Linked DNA regions of Neodiprion lecontei. The protein of the gene in region 1 interacts with the protein of each later gene in a pairwise test. Links are inferred from orthologs where the notes say so. Each region holds a gene or a part of one and is shown in the gene's direction. Other genes may lie near its edges.

Evidence for each region.
Region 2: the proteins of huntingtin (region 1) and serrate RNA effector molecule homolog interact in binary tests that used the Homo sapiens proteins (3 or more experiments, as listed by UniProt). The link is inferred for Neodiprion lecontei from reciprocal best matches to the Homo sapiens genes HTT and SRRT.
Region 3: the proteins of huntingtin (region 1) and thioredoxin domain-containing protein 11 interact in binary tests that used the Homo sapiens proteins (3 or more experiments, as listed by UniProt). The link is inferred for Neodiprion lecontei from reciprocal best matches to the Homo sapiens genes HTT and TXNDC11.

The regions. Positions count from the first base shown.
Region 1 is NC_060262.1:8,088,277-8,094,668, forward strand, and holds the start of huntingtin, read left to right. Parts: upstream 1-2,834; 5' UTR 2,835-3,042; coding exon 3,043-3,128; intron 3,129-3,372; coding exon 3,373-3,559; intron 3,560-4,494; exon of another isoform or gene 4,495-4,510; coding exon 4,511-4,789; intron 4,790-5,219; coding exon 5,220-5,361; intron 5,362-5,708; coding exon 5,709-6,278; intron 6,279-6,392.
Region 2 is NC_060264.1:19,006,618-19,013,009, forward strand, and holds the start of serrate RNA effector molecule homolog, read left to right. Parts: upstream 1-2,399; 5' UTR 2,400-2,556; intron 2,557-2,974; 5' UTR 2,975-2,980; coding exon 2,981-3,105; intron 3,106-4,064; coding exon 4,065-4,325; intron 4,326-6,392. Other genes in the region: uncharacterized protein LOC124294542, read right to left, coding at 41-490, 589-807, 946-1,053. UniProt on the Homo sapiens protein: Acts as a mediator between the cap-binding complex (CBC) and the primary microRNAs (miRNAs) processing machinery during cell proliferation.
Region 3 is NC_060261.1:41,969,226-41,975,617, reverse strand, and holds the start of thioredoxin domain-containing protein 11, read left to right. Parts: upstream 1-2,392; 5' UTR 2,393-2,772; coding exon 2,773-2,984; intron 2,985-3,450; coding exon 3,451-3,661; intron 3,662-3,783; coding exon 3,784-4,014; intron 4,015-4,166; coding exon 4,167-4,370; intron 4,371-4,466; coding exon 4,467-4,664; intron 4,665-4,770; coding exon 4,771-5,490; intron 5,491-5,566; coding exon 5,567-5,797; intron 5,798-5,872; coding exon 5,873-6,066; intron 6,067-6,140; coding exon 6,141-6,392. Other genes in the region: exosome complex component RRP46, read right to left, coding at 397-579, 1,177-1,320, 1,475-1,596, 1,707-1,820, 2,048-2,156. UniProt on the Homo sapiens protein: May act as a redox regulator involved in DUOX proteins folding. The interaction with DUOX1 and DUOX2 suggest that it belongs to a multiprotein complex constituting the thyroid H(2)O(2) generating system.

The DNA.
Region 1 (6,392 bases):
AATATAGTTGGTACACTGTTCTTTTTCAATGTAATTAGGAATCCTGTCCTATCAAAGCAGTCATTTGTAAAATGAGCCGAACACAATGTGCTATTTCGGTTTGGCTTCCAGTCCTTCCTCTTCATTTCTTTTAACAACTGCTGAAGGCGCAACACATCTTTCACGGGAAATCTACATATCGAATTATAATTTAATCCCTGAGTCAATAATACCCGAGTTTTCAATTTCAATTATAATAAGATCGGTTCATAATTCAAATATTGTGAATTTTTACTGACACGATTCGTACGTTATAATACTCGTTAAATATAATTAGTAAATACTTCGTATGCTGACATAACCTCTGCAAGTTATCATTTGCAGAACGCTTCAGCGTTGTATACTCACTTGTGAAATGATCGCCCACAATATTTTGATTGCTTTGTTTTGCAAAAAACGCAGGTACTCATTGTTACCTCAATAATTGTTACTGTAATTTTCCAACACAATCGATTATATACACATACATATATCACGTATATATTTATATATATCTGAAGTGACAAGAATCTGTACAAAATGGCTACCGTTCAATTGGCGTGACGGCACCACGCTTAAATCCAATCCAGTGTATATATATATCAGTGGGTTGGACCGGTTCGACTCCCTCTACTTGTGAGATGATCGCGTCCTAATAGTAGAAGTTAGTGGGATTCTAGTTTCATTTTTAGCCGCAACCTTGGCAACATCTAAGGTTCCGACCATGGTCTTAGATCGTGTTCGTAAATTGACTGACAGTACTGAAAATTCCCTACGACAGAGTCAAAGCTATTCATGAACTTGGAAGCGCAAAAGAGATGAAAAATTGCTGACAGTACTGTCAGTCAATTTTCGAACACGGCCTTATAGACACGTCTGGGTACTCCAGGGTACTCCGGCTGTAACTCCGTGCTCGAAAATGAAACCGATGTTGTGAATTTTCGCCGCTAGCGCTAGTGAGGAAGAGGCCTACTTAGGGCGTGTTCGGAATTCGACTGACCGTACTGTCAGTACTGAAAATCTACAGTAGACGTCACTTGGACTATACCATTTTCAGTACTGACAGTACTTTCTGTCAATTTCCGAACACACCCTACATAGAGATCAGTGTACTATACACAGTAGAGATCAGTGGTGTTTACGGTTCCGGAGGCTCCGTACGCGACAGGTCAAACCTGTTTCCGTCTCTCTCACACAGCCTGCATCTCTCTATTGCAGCGACACTCGTGGTCACTAGGCGAAACGATCGGTGCTTCAATAAGAGGACACCCCCACCACTGAAATTTTGACTGAATTGCCAGACCCACGGTCTTACATACAGGTCTTGCGACTCAATAGAATTCCAATGGTAGAGAGTGGCTCCTCTATTGAAGAAAAATCCAGATGGAGCTGCGATCGAGGGATGCATCAACATAACCTACAATGTTTGAGTAAGCCTTTGACGATTGACGTGCGTGTTCCGTATTGTGTTTCGTTCACAACACGGTCAAGACCGTGTCCTTGTCGCACCGGGCATCCCTCGATCGCAGCGACGCTAGCGGCTTGACACGTTAAGAGGCCCACGTCGAAACTCAGAGTCGCAAGACCTGTATGTAAGACCGTGATACAAATTATCCAGCATGAACTATAGAATCCTTTCCGAAAGTAGATCTGTAATGTGGAACAATACAGAGCGCCACCTAGAGAGTATATCAGGGACACGACACTAAACCACTGTAGATAAATCAATTCACCGGATGATTCTGTTGGGCAAAACAATTGAATATCAATCCAATAGGTAAAATGATGAATACATCATTTTAATAATTAAACCATTTAGTCCAATAGCATCCATACCAATTTTGGAAATGAAACGTAACAATGTACAAAACATCAACCTTTACAAAGTCAGTAAGATTTCCAAGGAAGTGTCTAATAACGCCTCGAGGGCACGCGCGGCATCCAAGTTTATACCTATGTTCATTGCTGGGTAGAACGGCAACAAATAGATTGCCAAGTTCGTTCTCTTGATATCAATACATTCATGACTTTCATGCATCAATTATGGCCATAGTTATGGAGACTAGAGATAAGGAGTCCGAACGGAATGCTAGCCAAATGGTCGGTGAAACTGATGAACGATCCGCGGATTGTAACCGCCTGGTAGCGCTACCACTGCGGGCTTCGGCAGCGCGGTGATTTTGAATCGTCGATCCTCACGTATGTATTCTGGGTATGTTCCGATATACACTGCGAGCACTGTTCAGTGCTCTTACTGGGGAGAAATTCGTTCCGTTATAGACTGACAGTATACAGTCGCAGTATCCTAGGGAAATATATGACGTCATAAATCGTCGCCATTTTTCTACTGTGAACACTGGTGCTTTCGAGGTAAGGTGCTCTCAGTGCTTTGATGACGTGATCAACAGCGTTCAGAAATTTAACAGCTTCCACTATTGATAATTATTATTATTGAATATTGTCATTTAAAAATATCGGCCGTTAAAAACAAAAATGGAAAATTTGAATAAATTGTGTTTATTGCAATGTGAAACAAATATTATGTATGAAATGAAAGTAACGCCAAAAAATGTCGATCACAGTATACTGTACTGCGTTCCGTTTTAAGCAGTAACCAGTATAGCTAACTATACAGGAACGGCTTCGCAGTATACTAAATTGACGACACACCTTACAGTGCTCGCAGTGTATATCGGAACATACCCTTTATTCGTAACCAGGCGCTGGTATCTCTTGCGGATACATCCCGAACTACAAGCTCTTTCATCGCTTTCACGAACCACTTTTCGACGATTCCGCCATATGCGTTCGGATTCCTTTACTCTAGTCTCCATGGCCAGTTTTATGCCTATGTGTATGATTGTGGCACCTGTCACATTAATGTCGGCTGTTGTTATGTTTAGCATTTTAAGGTAGATCACAAGTATATGAATTATTTCCAATATGTTAGTGATTAACAGCGGATGTGCTTGACGAATGATAAATATCTACGTATAATAACGCATAAAATATCCATTGACAACCATGGCTACGATTAACGGAATACTCAAAGCGGTGGATACATTGAAAAATTTGCAACTTCAAGATACTTCCCACGATTGTGCCGCCAGGTATTTTCATTATATGACTTTAAAAAATAAGCACTATTCAGCGTTTTCAAGCGCACTTCATGCACGTAAAATGCATACCTACTGTACACCCGTCCGTATATACGTCTTTTATGTAAACTTCTATATTGATTTTCGCGTCACAGATATGCTTACATGCGATTAGAAGTATTGGAGTTTGAATTGAGATTTCATCTTCCAACGAGGTTATGTCAACCAAAATGACAAATGTCCTTATTGTTTACAGAAAAAAAGAAAAAATCGCGTACTGCACTACTGTGGCAGACGGCATATGCTCTTCTGCCGCTAGACTCACTCCAAAATTTTCTCAAGTTCTTAACGTCGCTATAGAGACGCTGCTAATGCTTTGTGATGACTCGGAATCAGATGTCAGAATGGTTGCCGACGAATGCTTGAACAGGATAATACGAGGGGTATGCTGAAAATTTTAGTATACATTCGATGTAAACATATTCAGGGGATACATCATTAAGTTGTACCATCTTTCAACTTTGAAGCATCTTTAAAATACTTGTCATACTTTAGGCAAAATGTACAGACCCCAAACCATATTTTGCTTCCCATATTTGCCTTTAAATATTTTTAGGCTCTATGGGATACATGCATTTCAGACTTTGACAATTAGTTGAATGATTCTGTCACCCTCTAACATCAACATAGTGTCCAGCTCATTCGGAATAACTGGTAAAAGTTGAGAGAACAGTTAGGGGTAGTCAGTTGATTTTGGCATAACGTTGTCTAAATGATAAAGAAAGTAATTATGCAGGCTGATCCCTATACAGAGTTTTGAAATTAACTGTAATGACAATGATTTCAATTGTTAGCATTAAACATAAATATTAGATGAATAAAGTAAAAGGTTCTGAAATTCAATGATTGTTTACATTTCATTGTAAATGTGAATTTTATAATGACTCACGTCATTCCATTTATTACATTTTATAATAAAAATTCAGGTTCATAAAATCTCCATCAGTTGTTGATTATGATAGAAGAAGTGGAATAGTCCTTTGATCAAGTTAGTCAGGATTATTATATTTTACTGGAATCTTGCAGTAGAATTTAAAAAACGATTAAATTTAATTTTGCATTGTACGGTATACATAAGGTTTTAAAATTCTAAGAGGAAGTTAAGGAATTTGAAGAATAAGTTATTGCAAAATGAATAATGCTGTTATCGAAGATTTTGCATATTATCCAGTTGCATTGTGCAGTATTTTTACAAACTTTCTTGCCCAATGGTGAAAACGACTGAAAATTAATGATAAAAACTACAAGAAATTACTGAATTTGCTAGGCACCGAGGCTAAGTATATAACGAATTAATTCTGCTTCTATTTGATAATAGTTCTTCTTATTGTCAGGCTATGACAGATGGCAACATAGTGAAGGTACAAATCGTGTTATATTGCGAAATAAAAAAGAACGGTACTGCCCGAACATTAAGAACTGCACTATGGAGGTTCGCGCAGCTGGGGCACATGATCCGGCCGCTGAAAGGAAAGGCTTACGTGGCAAATCTGATACCTTGCATTGTAGCTATTGCTCAGCGTTCCGAAGAATCTGTTATCGAGACACTAGCCAATTCTTTACCATTGATTTTGAAAACTCTGGGGAATTTTACAACAGATAGCAATGTGAAGGTAAATAAATTGAAACAAAATACGAAATTTGTTCATCTGGATACTACGCCATATTTAAATGAGTGTGTTCTTTACTCACATTTAGCCTTAGCAAATTTTAGAAAAAAAAATCTAGACTCTCGTCACAGAATAAAATAATCAATAAACGCGATTGCTGTGCAATTAATAATCGGCGATTCATCTCCCATTCATATAACACACAATCTATATGGTGCTGTAGCTCATGTGTTTGAACCCGTATTAAACACAATGGCGAGCCTCTTTTCACATCAATATTTTGAATTGTCACCCAATTTCAGAGTATGCTTATCTTCCAGTAGATTAGACATCGCTTTATTTGCGAAATTGGCTTCGGTATATGCTATGAGGCCGACAGGATGTTAAATTGTCCCGTTGAACATTTGGTTTTCATGATAATTATAATTTTCAGACTCTACTCAATGCATTCTGTCAAAACATACCTTCAACACAGGCTGTATTCCGCAGAACAGCAGCTAATATGATTCTTACGACTTGCTTGAACTCTCGAAATCCTCAGGCTTTCTTATTGCACGTTTTACAGTATATGATAGGTGAGGAAGATTTTTTAATCACCTAATTTGCGTGTGACACTTTCGCTTCTAGATCAAACTGTAGCATTCTATGCTACATAGTCTATGAACCTTTGAGGCCATGAGTTTAAAATTTGGAATGCTAATGTAACAAATACACAGAGAGACAATTTAACAACCACAATCATTCCTTCAGCCTTTGGTTGTTGAAACAACTAAACTTTTTACCTTTGATACGCTGTTACATTAGCGCTACAAATTTGAACCTTGTATTTTCATCTGTGTTGTATCAAAATAAGGATATTATTAATTGTTAGGAAGTTTACCCTCTCAGAATCCTAAACGGAACTTACTTATCTCTTGATTAGATACTCTTGTGCCAATAACTGATGACGAAGACCGTGTTACAACGGTAATTGGAGTATTTGGCTGTCTAAGGATAATAATACCTCATATTGATGAAACATCAAATTTGAGCCAACCTGACGTCCCCCTTCATAGCTTTATACAGGTGTATGAGCTATGTCTACACTTTGCCAGGTGGCATTCCGATCACAATGTCGTCAATGCAGCGTTGGAGACCTTGGCTCAATTACTACAATTCCCTTTAAAAGAATTGGTTCCGATCTTGGTTTCCTGTCAAGGGATTACACGGAGCAGGATAGCAATGAATGAAAATACAGCCCGCCTTTCTTTGGGACCGATGAGTGGTTCCAATGTAACAATATCTGGAAGAAATTTGGATTCGACATTAAATCTTTTCGATCCAGATATTCCTGAAATTAAACCAACCGTAGAGAAATGGATTGTTGATTCGGAGAATGTATTACCAGTGATTCAACGACCCCATATCAAACAAGCCGACACCAATCAAGTCATAGGGAAAAAGGAAAAGTCTTTGGAGAATTACAGCAGCCTGATCATCGGATCTCTTGACAGTAAGATTATAACGATTTAATAGACACAACTAAAACAGCGATTGTGCTGGCGATGTAGGAATAAAAATGATGTTCGTAGCATGATAATATAATCTCATACATTTGTGTGTTTCT
Region 2 (6,392 bases), on another chromosome or scaffold:
GCATGATTTAGATTTGAAGGAAAAATTAGCACATTTTTACCTTCATTTCCATGTTCCCATCAATCAGGAGGTTTAAATCTGGTTGGCCGGTTAGAGATAAGTGGCATAAGTGAAGTCCTTCGCCAACAAATATATATGCCCACCCCTTGGGCAGGCGAAATTTATCCAAGTCAAATTTCAGTCTTTCCGTGCTGTACGGTAAACTCGAATCTTCTTGACATATTTCAATACTATTCTCTAGTGTTTGTTGAGGTAACTCTTCCATAGTCTTTGTTACGAGGCTTTTATGGTCTTTGCTAAATTCCTCAAATATGTTCTCATCATCAGATTGAACTTGTTCATTCATCAAATCATCTTCAGTAAAATTTTCATTGAAGTTAGTCAAACAAGTGTGCTCTGTTTCCACTTTTGTTATTTTTATTAGTGACAAGTTCGTATCGTTCTCCTTTAAAATTTGCTTCTCCACACTTGTAGCTCTGTCCTCAGCATCCTAAATATTTATTAATACATATGCATATACTAGAAAAGAAATCACGAGTATGTACGCTACTATAACTTTATCCGTTGAACCAAATTTAGGGACTGTACCTCTGAACGTTTGATTACAAAAGCAGATGGTATAGCGCCAAGTTTTAACTTGTATCTACCACGTTCTATCCTGTGAATAGTTCCGTCAGGCATTTTAGTTTGATAACATTTTTCGACGTCGCTATCATGGAAGTGAAGTTCGCAAACTGAGTCATTTGCAGATAACGTTCGGTCATCGCGAGCCAAGGCGGCATTCCACTTGTTCCGCAGCTCTTCGCACTGTGATGTAGAAGAATATGTTTTTCGTTACAGAAAGTGATAAGTTCCTAATGTTTATGCAACGCAAATATATCATTTCCAAAATTTTTGAATAGCCCATAATTCATATATTGCTGAAGGAAACAAGCATTCGCTTACCCGTGGTGTACTAAACAAAGTTCTTCTCCTTTTTCCTCTAGAAGTGCTTTCTCTGTTTTCAGATGCGTAGCCACTCGAGCATCCGCGGACGAAACATTTTCGCGTCATTCTCGGTAACTCATATTAAAAACGCGCTCGTATAAACGTATATAAAAGCGAAAATATGTGCGACAGATGCTTACCAAACTTTCGTCACCTCCACTTTGTTTCCCTGCTGGTTAACTACTGTGGCCACATAGTGTATCGCAGTGCTGCCAGGCGAGGACAACGGCAACTATGTCCATTTTATCCCGTTTTTAGCTGGTTACACTGGGTGCCCACCGACTGCGATTTCCCTTGTTTTTAACTTAAGGCTGGGATTCCATGGGCAGGAAAAAGGAGCAGCAATAGCAGCAATTCACTAAAAGTTACCAGCACTTGCGGCGCAAGTTTTTGATGTTTGAAATTCATCATTAAACCAGCAAACGCAAGAAATTTTATGAGCAGAACTGCTGCTGCGTCAAATCACTAGACAGATATTAGTAACATCTAGTATTAGATACTAAACTGCTGCTTATTTCTGCCAATGAAATCCCAGCTTAATAGCAAAGGTAAAATTTAAACTGCACTTTGTGCGCACTGAGTGCGATTTACCCAGTTTTTGGCCAACAGAAAAACCGAAATCCTAGGGAAAATGAATTCATAGCGTTTTCCACTGGTTGCACTGAGTGTGAACTGAGAGCGCACTAACGGTAGACTCGTATTTCCAGCGTGTTCCACTGGCAGCTCGAGTGCGTGAATTTAGCACTGAATGCGTAAAATATTGCCCTGAATTGCAATTATGGCTGCCGATCGTGAAAGAGTCGAAGTAGATGCTGTGACAGCAACTCTTTTATTAGATCTAATTTAATCTTCGTCTAGCAGTGATGATGCCTGCTGGAGTCGAAAGATAGAGGAGAGATTCCCAAAATTTTTAACTTCATAGGAGTAATCCACAGCATGTCCGATATCGAAGTATGGATACACATTTTTTCAGCTTCTAGAAGTTAACTGCTAGGTATATTTCAGGAAATTGGGACAACTTGACTTGCTGCTTATTAATTTTTATATTTTCAAGTCAAGTCAAGTAACGTCACATTATTTCTGATTTGATATGATCCCATTGATAGACAATTCATCTTACGCTATGTCTAAAAATCCCTAGAACTCGGTTAGCAAGTTTGTTACCAAATTCACCCGAAGAAGAGAACCGAACACCGAAAAAGGGTTGTAGCCGTGCCCTTGACACTCACCACTGCTCGTATACTAAAAAATTGTACGCGTTTTGTCCCCATTTTTTAGTTCCGCTACCTGGCGCTAATAGACTTCTGATACGCACGCTGCCCTCGTTGACTGCGCGCAAGCCGTCAGACAACTACTAGCGCCACTAGTGGTGGAGATTGGCGGCAGAATCGAGGGACATTTTGCGAACCACTTTTAGCAGCTTGTGTAAGGGGCTGGTTGTAGCCCACTGAAACTACTTACATCTCAGTGTTGTAGCCACCCAAAGCGAAGAGCCGCGGGAGGATAAATCGTGTGTGTCGTGTTGAGTGCTACGCCGTGAAGCCGGTTGTTTAATCCGCGATCGTTCAGGTAATTGTACTATGCTTTTATTTTGTACAAGTATACATTTCGCATGACAAAAATCCGGCCACAGAACTGAAACGTCGAGCATAACCTCCCAATAACGCGTCAATCAAGTCTCCGTACCGCTGTCCAAGCCAACGAGAGTACGCGTCGTCATTTAGCGTATCACAAATTAACGACAGTCGAATTTCGCGACGAGTTTGTGTCTATCGGAGATCATTCGTATCGTACTGATCTCGTTTTCTGTCCCCGAAAGCTTTCACCTTATCTGGACGCCTCTTACAATAATCTATATTATTATTATTGTTATCGTGGATCTTGCGCTGTATTAGTTTTCTACGACTGTACGAGTTGAGAATAGTAAACAATGGTCTCTATTATTAATCTGGGCACTTTGTTGAATCGATCGTTTACAAAATTACAGATCATAATGGCAGATTCTGATGACGAGTACGATAGAAAGAGGAGGGACAAATTCAGAGGCGAAAGAACCGAGTCATACTCCAGAGAAGGAAGACGTGGCGATGATCGTCGCCGAGATGAGTGGGTTGACAGGTACGTGCAAATCTTTTACTCTAAGTGAAGTTCTTTTAGGTTCAGCTCTGCGAAGACAATTTCAGATGCTTCATTAAAAACACTGTCCAAGCAGCAGTCCAGGCATTAACAACATTTTTGTAACAACAGATTTGCTAGAAAATATAATATATTGCAACAGCAGTATTGTCTGAAATTTGGTAAACTGTAACGAAGTTATACCATACCCTTAATTTATATTTTGGAAACTGAATTTATTCGAAATAGTTCCAAAGATGCAGATGCCTGATTTTTCTTAAATGTTTCATCACATTATCGTTACTAAGTTCAAGGTCATTAATAAATCTAAATAGATGAGAGAACAATCCCGTATGCTGAATAATTTATATGTCGAATCAAGGATTAATTACTTGGGTTGTTTAAATGAAATTTCGGAAAAGAGTTAAAACTGTTTAGAAGATATTGTGTTCACTATCAATTGCCCAAATAATACTGCGGAGGATCTTCTAAACTACTTTTCCTTTCTTTCCTTTGTTCCTAAATTTTCGATTCAGACGGTGGAACCCATTGACCCTTAACATTGTGCTTTTATCAATTTAGATTTTGTATCGTGTATGCTACAAATCTCTCGTCTATAGGTTTTATAAGAAACCTGTAACAATCAGAGAGTTTAGCATGATAAAAAAAAATGTAACAACCCTTAGCTTCAAAATGAAGTTTGAAGGAGTTGAATTTCAAAGATACAAATTTGCCAAAACAGTATGATATGCAGATTTTCTGGATTTCAGACACTTCAGAAAGTTAATAGACAACGAGTATTTTTGATATTCCGCCATTACGATAACTTCGCAAATTTTAACGTCATACTCAATTGTATTCATTAATTCTTCCTCTTCTATCAAGCCTTGCACTTGTATTTTCAAGACAACATTTTATACCAAATGCACCCTTGTATTAAAAATTTTGATTTCTGTTCCCAGGGAATGGTCGAGTCGTCCAAGAGCGAGGCCCGAGTACCGTGAGTATCGAGGTGGCGGGGGAGGCGGAGGTCGAGAGCGATACAGCCCAGCTCGATCCCAGGAAATGGCTCCGCCGATGAAGCGGATGCGGGCTGACTGGGAAGACCGTCCGCGTTACGGGGGCCACGATTATTATGGTGGCGGAACTTCCTGGGGTCCAGATCATTACACGCCGGCACACCATAGCAACCATCACTACGGCAACCATTCAAACAACAACAGGTGAGCTTGTCTGTTTTTTCTCTTCAAATGCCCATTGTTACTTTTATCACAAATAGCTGCATCTGCTAACGATCGATGAGAATAAGGTTCCGTGGTCATTTTATTTTGTCATTTACATTAATTATTGTCTCGCTGTAATTAACCATGAAGAGATTATATGACGATAATAGAGTTTTGTCCGCTCTTATTTCGCACGGCATGTTGCCAAAGCGCAGCAGATTCACGCCTAGACTTTTGGCCAGGATGAGGTAGGTATTCATTATTTTTTCTTGATATTACGCAAAATTGTTGGAGTTTGTAGCTCTAACAATGAAGATTTTTGAAAACCTCGAAGTTGTTGAGATTTCTTAAGCTTTCCTTTGACTTAATAAACACTTAAATGTTGAGCGAATACAATGAAGGGATAGAATAAGTCTTGAATTTGACAATGATGTACAGAAGAAGTGGCGTTCATGGTTAAAATTTTGAAAATAATCCTAACCAAGAATGCTGCATTTAAAACGTAGTGATTATTTGCAGTGTTAATATAAAAAAAAAAATTGAGGTATAGTGTGGATGTATATGGATATTAACAATCGAATAAACTTGAGAAAAGTGCGCATTGACGTTGAAGTTTTTCTAAAAATAGTGATCAAAAGCGACGATGCCCGATCTAACATTCTTGGCGTGCATGTACACGAGTTGTGGCCCCCTCGTACTCAAATAAGTTCAAAGCACAAACGATATAAACACTTTAGACCGCAGACGATAACACACGATCCACGTTATGTTTGCATACAGGATTGCCGCTTTTGGCGCTGTCAAAAGCACTACACATATCAAGGATATACTCCGTTCCATGAGAAAAAATTGTTTTTTTTATACTTATTGTTATTGTGTAGCAAATTTCATTACGTATTTGTGCAACTGAGAAATATTTCAACATTAATTTTAATTTTAAACTCTGGTAAATAAATAACACCCCGAGGATTTTCGTTTAATTTACAAAGTTGCACGGGAGCCACCTTAAATAAAATCTTTCTGAATCCTCAGAATCCATTTCAATGAAAAATCAATCAAAATTGTTTTAAAACGTTTGAATAATATGTGTTATTATCGAAAATGGACTTGGTAACAATAACATAACAAAACATTGGTACTGAATTTACCATTTTACGCTAATTTCGAATGATTTTTGAAAAAAAGTTTCCACCATTACTACTTATGTGCATCATAAGATTCTAATGAATCTAATTAATATCGGGGAGTGAAATCTCTTGAAGTCCTTGAAGTAGTTAATACTTTGATAGATCTTTCAAAATCAGCAGTAAATCACATGAAATCGTTTGACATCCTCTTGAAAATGTCTTCATTACATAAATGTTTATTTATGTATTCATATCGACGGGACGGGTCCAATTACATAATATATATACTAAAATAATCCAGGCCTTTAGTTGCCGTTAATAGTATTACAACGATAGGCATGATGCTTTAAATTCTAGATACAACTTGGGAAAGCCTCAGTTATGTTGAAATATGCATTTAGATTTCGTCTTAATGTGGTAAAAATTAGGATTATAAGTGTCAAGTCGATCCGTATATTTATTGCACATACTCGCAAGTCGCTCGCATGGTGAAGCGAGGGGTGAATTGGTATCCATTGCAAAAAGAAAGACCGTTACGATCATTGTCTCTTAGGTATTAATTAGGAAGATGCAAGTTGAATTTTAATATCAGATTACTGCCATCGATGAAGTTGTTAAAAAGCTTGCAAGCTAAAATTACTATAAAAGTGTCAGGTTTTGATGAATTTCTTAGTAAATCTTTTAATGAAGCCAATGGTTCTACGAGCTTTAACTTGGATGTATTCAAAATGAAATATGAAGGAAAGTTTGATATAGAAGATTACTCCGAGATCCCTTACATGATTGTTCAAAAAGTAGTTGTCCATTGGTAATTTAGGTTTCCCAAAAGTTATATCGAAGCATTTTTTATTATTGCACCGTAAACCATGTAGGCAACAATATTTAAAGAGTGCATTTCTATCGTCCTATAAGAGTGCAAAGTCCGTTAAATTACGGATTT
Region 3 (6,392 bases), on another chromosome or scaffold:
ATGAGCGAACCGTACCATAAATTGCTTCGCTTCTTGTTAATGGTCAGCAAGACTGCGCCGCAGCTTCGGGCCCCCGGGGGGAAACCTCGCGGCTAAACGTAGTTCAGTCAGTATTCCTGGTAGCCTTATTGTATTTAATGGAATCAAAGTTACGATCGCTATTTCGCTGTACCGAATCACCTGCACCGCGGAGGCCGTTTTAACCGGTGTTATTAAATTCCTCAGCTCGAAACGGATCGAGTATACCACCGCCTAATTATTTTTATATACATACAATCGATCTCCCACTGCTCGGAAATATACGTAAAGTGCTAGTTATAGAATTGAATCATTGGATTTTTCAGCAATTTACGGGTGCGAATTCGACGTCGATAAATTTATCGCATGCAAATATGCTCATAATTTAATCGCGTATTGTTCAACTATGTTTCTATAAAAATCGAAGATGTTCTGGCTTGCTGCTCGACACTTTTCTAGAGATTCCATCAGCTCGTTCTCCGAGAATCGACCAGTTGTGTGGCAAGACACCAAGTCCTTTTTTATACCCTCGAAAACATACGTGAACGTGACCCGTGCCTGCTGCAATTTTCAATTATTATCAAATATATTAGAATTACGTATGATAAGTAATTGAAAGGAATTGAAACAAAGTAACAATAATAATACGTCATTTTTTGTTGTTTTAGGCCCAGCGTCCTTCAAAACTAATGCTCATACTTCAAAATTATAACTCCATAAAGTTCGGATTAAAGGAAATATTTATACATGAAGGTAATATTTAAAACAAATACCACACTTTTGAATTACGAAATTGACTCAACTAGGTGTTCTGAGACTCAGAAAGTAAAATTAGACAAAATTCGCTGGTTTGTCATTTCTGCTCTGATTAACATTTAGAAACATATAAAGGACAATACATGAAGAAAGTTGTGATCTTTCTCGTCTCTCCTTAAAATTTGTTGACAGAGCACAAAAACAATTTGATCAAAATTAGCGATTAAGGCTTTACTTGAAAATTCAACCTAAGGTTCTAGTTGTAGAAAGTTAGATTATTTCCAAATAGTTCAAACTGGGCAAAAAAAGAAAATACCAATAGCATTTAATACTTATAAATGTGTGAAAGAATATGAATTTTACTTGAAATATTTCAAATATATAAATATAAGTTTTAGAAACCTGTATTTGCGTGCTATCAGGATCTACAATCAGTTTGCCGGACTCGCGGTCAATCATGCAGGATACAGCAGCGACAGTGAATTTCATAGAAATACTGGAGATTATGAGCGCCAGGCAAGCAGCATTAATGGCACAGGCGAGTAACTGCAAAATTGTACGTAACACGTGAGTATTATCTCTTTTAATAAAAGACACAACGAAAAGTGGAAGTAAAGTGGAATCGATTGTTTTGTAATGAACCGATAAAGTGAAGTGATAGAATTGTATTGTACAACACTTAATCAATAAAAATACCAACTCCTCCAGAATCCTGCAGTTCTTGTACATTTATGCTTATTGCCATGCCAGGGTGCAACGCAGTCAGCAGTACAGCCTCGCACGTTTCCCTGATGACAGTTTCCTTCGCTCTGTCGTCGACACCTTAAAATACAGAATAATTATCAAAATGTTAAATCACGTAACAAGCGAAATAATCTGTTAAAGAGCTATAATCAAAATATCAGGATTGTCGGCAGTCAAGAAATACTTACACGGTGGTCCTTTTGCAGGACTAAACATTGTTTCAACGGTCGCTCTGTCGTGCATCATCTTTTGTAGCTTCGCTTCAATTGGTCCATAAACTCCGGCAACAACGACGGTGTCACCTGGAATCGATCATTTGAAAACACCATCAGTTCAGAATTATGGTATGTACATATTAGATACCACAAAAGAGCCGTGCAATAAATTTGAAAAATTGGAATATGTGAATCTAGGAAACTAGGTATGTAAAATCTGGATGTTTATGTGATGATAGCTAACATAAAAAATAAACAAAATAAATGGGAACTCACGCTATGAAAACAAACGACCGTTCACACGAATTAGTTACCTTGCATAAACATTGCCGAACCATCCGGTCTGCTCAGCTGATTTAATTCACAGTTCATCGGTCTCAAAACGCACTCCTCTTCCTCCGTAGTTTCCAATTGGTTTTGCATTTCAATTCGTTTTCTATCTTCGCCGCTCCAATTTGAACTAGGTTAGGAGCAGACAAATGGAAGACACGCGTTGCATCGACGCCAGAGTTAAAGCTCATGAGATGTACGACATGGGGATATCCAGAAACTCGGCGTCGCGGCTTTTCATTGGTCCACGTCAGGATATCCCTAGATATAGCGGAAAGATGTGCAGGGTGCCAACTGCAGAGTATCAAAAAATTCCATGACAGTTTAGCAGCCGATTCAAGTCAAAACGTTATTTATAAAAAATAAGCCACGTGCGATTCGGAAGCAGACGTATTGTAATAACCCTGAAAATGTATAAGGACATTCTATAAGTTCAATTTAATTGGAGATGAAATTTCGATACTTGTACACTAATGTCGTTTAAGACGAGTGGATTTAAGCGGTCAGCTGTTCACCGGGGAGAAAAAGATGGAGCACAGGTGACATATGTGTGGACCTTGGGGCGCGAGTTTATTAATCGTTTGTAATTCAGTTAATATAATCCCCATGAAAAGATAAGTAGGCCCGAGTGATGACGCGATACGTGACGAAAATTTGACGGCAATCATCCCCCCGTCGGACCTTCGTTATTTCCTTAATTTCGAGGATAATGACCAGTGGAGAACGCGACACAAGTCCGCAAAGAAATGGTGATAATTTGCGGCCGACCAATGATTCAGGAAGTGATAACGTGGTCCAAACATCACTCGCAACGAGCTCCGCACTAGAAGAACGATTAGCCTCGAAAATGTTACACTATGGCAAAGAATTATGTTTCTTTGCTGCAATATTATTCACCACCTTAGCTGCTCTTCACACTTCGTAAGTTTTTTAAAAATAGTTAAGGTTATCCGCCAACTCACCTCAATAATTCTACGTTTTTTAATCATCTAGCATATTGTAAAAAAAATCAAATGCCAATATCATGAATTACATTGTAGAAGAAATTATTTTTCAACATTCATTTTACCTTTGGATATTCTTTAACAACACTATTTTACAACGGCGTTCTATTACTGATATTTTTGAATATGTATGATCCGAATCAAATTTAGGAAGTGTCAAATATCGTTACTTGCAAGCGGAGTCAAACTATAGAAATCAATGTTCAATAAAAACCGGTAAAATTCTCAAATATTACTTTCAAAAACATCAAATGAAACCTTGACTGCATTTAATTGTAAAACATGATCTCTCATAGATTTTTTTAGTTGATTAAATACATGTATAACGTATCTGATAAACAACTAGTTTAATAGCGAATTCTCAACTTTGAATGTATTTACAGGCCACCAAAAGTGTCACAACCTCCTTCAGCTCGGCCATTCTTTAACCAAAGCTCGCTTGTTTTGGATTTTTACAAAGGTCATTTAGGCGCCGCTATTGAAAGAGTCACAGATGCAGATCTCAGTTTTGTTATGTACTACGCACCATGGGATGCCGAGAGTCAAGCCGTTAGACAAGAGTTTGAAACTGTGGCACGTTTTTACCACAAACAGGTTCTCATTAATTCATTTACTAAGTTCTATACATAAATCGTTATTCAATTATTGCTTCTTGCCTTTGACATTACTACAAAAACTTGTGGAAACCACACTAACTTTAATTTGTTAATTTTCAGATATTTTTTGCAGCCATTAATTGCTGGCACCCGGGTTCAGAATGCCGGGCTGAATACAGCAAGATTCAGAGCTACCCAGTTTTTATGCTCTATCCTAGGCGAGGACCTGGTGTTCAGTACAGAGGTATTCGTACTGCACCGTACATGATACGCTTCCTCCACGCATTTATGAACCCAATATTCAGAATAACAGACAGAAATCAGCTCCTGAACCTGATTGTAGACTATGACGTAGGTTTGATTACGTTTCTCCCTCTGTCCCTCTCTCTCTCTCTCTCTCTCTTTCTGTTCAATCTGGGTTGCGACCTCTACATGTTTATTGTTATTATCACTTAAGTTATCTCCACATATATGTGAAATTATCACAAAACCTTATGTTCTAGGCCGTGGTGATAGGTTACTTTAATTTTATCGGACTGAAAAACTCACCGGGATACAATGTCTTTTACAAAACGGCAATTAAATCACTAGAAAGAGATCCTAACAAAGAGTTAGCATTCGCAGTGGTTACTGACACTTCTGCAGAATCTAATTACGGAGTTACGGAGTTTCCTTCTGCTAGGTTGCTACTTTGGAACGAGTCATTGGTACGAGCAAGTTTAGCTTGAAAATATATAAATATAAGATTTTGCCTTTGATTCATCTGTTGAACATTGTGCTACGATAAAATATTCATTGTACAGAGTTATCCTGTGGAAAATGAATGGAAATCTGATAGTTTACTGAAGTGGATTGGCGGAGCACTGCATCAAGCTACTCTTTGGCTGCAACCCCCAGGCACCAAGTCTCTCACACTAGCGCCATATTTGAAGGATGGACCAGTATTGTTTCTATTTACACCCAGGAACCCATTTCATCAATATAACTACTACTATAATTTGGTAAATATTTTAAGGATAACTGAAGCTTGAATTTTATATCACACAAACTGTTCTTTTTTCATCATTAACATTTGTTTCATAAATTCTCCTGCCATGATTTTTCCAGTTGAAAGCAATTGGAGTACAGTATTATAATTGCGGCGACAACTTGATGATCAAAAACATAGTGAACCACCTGGAGTCTGTTCGTCCCAGGGAGAAAGCAAAGCATTATGAAAAAAGTAAGCAGTGTATGCGCCTTTTAGATAGAAACAGGGTTCAACAACTGGTTCCAAAAATGAGTATTACCGACCGACAGTGGATAAACAGCAGCTGTTGTTCTCAAATTTTAACTAACAAGTGTTTAATGTGCAAGAAGACAACCTCTGTGTTGCTTAAAAATGAGGATGCGGTATGTGCCGCAAATTTGAACAGCTTTCATCACAGCTGTAAGCCAACAGATGTCTTTAACATACCGACAAAAGAGGGAGAGGAACACGAAAAAAACGAATTTTGTTGTGAAAACTATGACATGATGGAAGATCTCGAAACTTCTACTTTAACAGAAGAAAATGACTTGCAAACTCCAAATGCTTTGTCTGATTACATTCTAAAAGATGAATGCAGACACTTACTAACTGGGAATAATTATCACCCACCAGTATTTCCGAAAAACTTACCTCGCGATCATCAGAAAATTAATTTAACATCTTCTATATGCAAGACTAACAAAACATTGGCTTTGATAGCTGTTGATAGCCTACAGTTCTTTCATATTGCTGAGGGGCTGGGCATTGATGTTGCAATAAAGAAAGATAAAACTGCTGTGGCTATTGTAGACCCTCTGGTATGTTAATCTATGAATGTTACAATAATGTAGATAAATCGATCTTAGTTTAGAAAAATTATTTTGTGTTTTTCAGCAAGAGAGCCAATACATTTTGGAGCAAGCTGTGAGCTATAACTCGCTTGTACAATTCATAAACAATTATACCGAGAATTCATTAAAACGATATTTATGCTCACATAGCCGTTTGGAATCAGTAAAGAGTTCTAAAACACAGCAGGAATGCAGTGTCAGCGAAAACTCTGTAATCTGTGTTCCAGAGTTAACAACCGATACATTTTTGAATACTGTTATGAACCCTGACAAGGTAGGATGGACATTTTTAAATATCACCACACTTAATTACTAGAAAACATTAGTAATCGCTAATTTCTCTTTTTAGGATGTAGTAGTGATGTACCATTCGCCTTATTGTGCATTTTGTCATGCAGTGTCATACGTGTATCTAACAGTGGCACAGTACTTACACAACATGCAAAATCTAACATTTGTGCGTATTAACGGAGATGGAAACGATCTGCCGTGGGAATATACAATGAACCGATATCCAGCCATTCTCTTCTTCCCTGCTAAAAGGTAATCAAATATTATTTATTATTCTAGAATCAGCTGAAAATTATATATTAAGTAATAAGCTTGTATGATTTTAGAAAAGCAGACAGCATCGTATTTCCGTTCTCTCTACCAATCAGCATTCCAAATTTCCTCAACTTTGTTCTTGCCAACTTGGATGGCAATGCACACATTGAAGCCTTGGTGAACATCTGCCACCTGGGAATAGGAGATTCGCCAGCTGACTGTGTATCCCAAATTAGGCTTCTTTGTTTAGAAATAATCGAAGACTTACTTCAGAGCTACAGAAGACTGCGACGAAGTTTAGTTAGTGCTACAAATAAGACTGT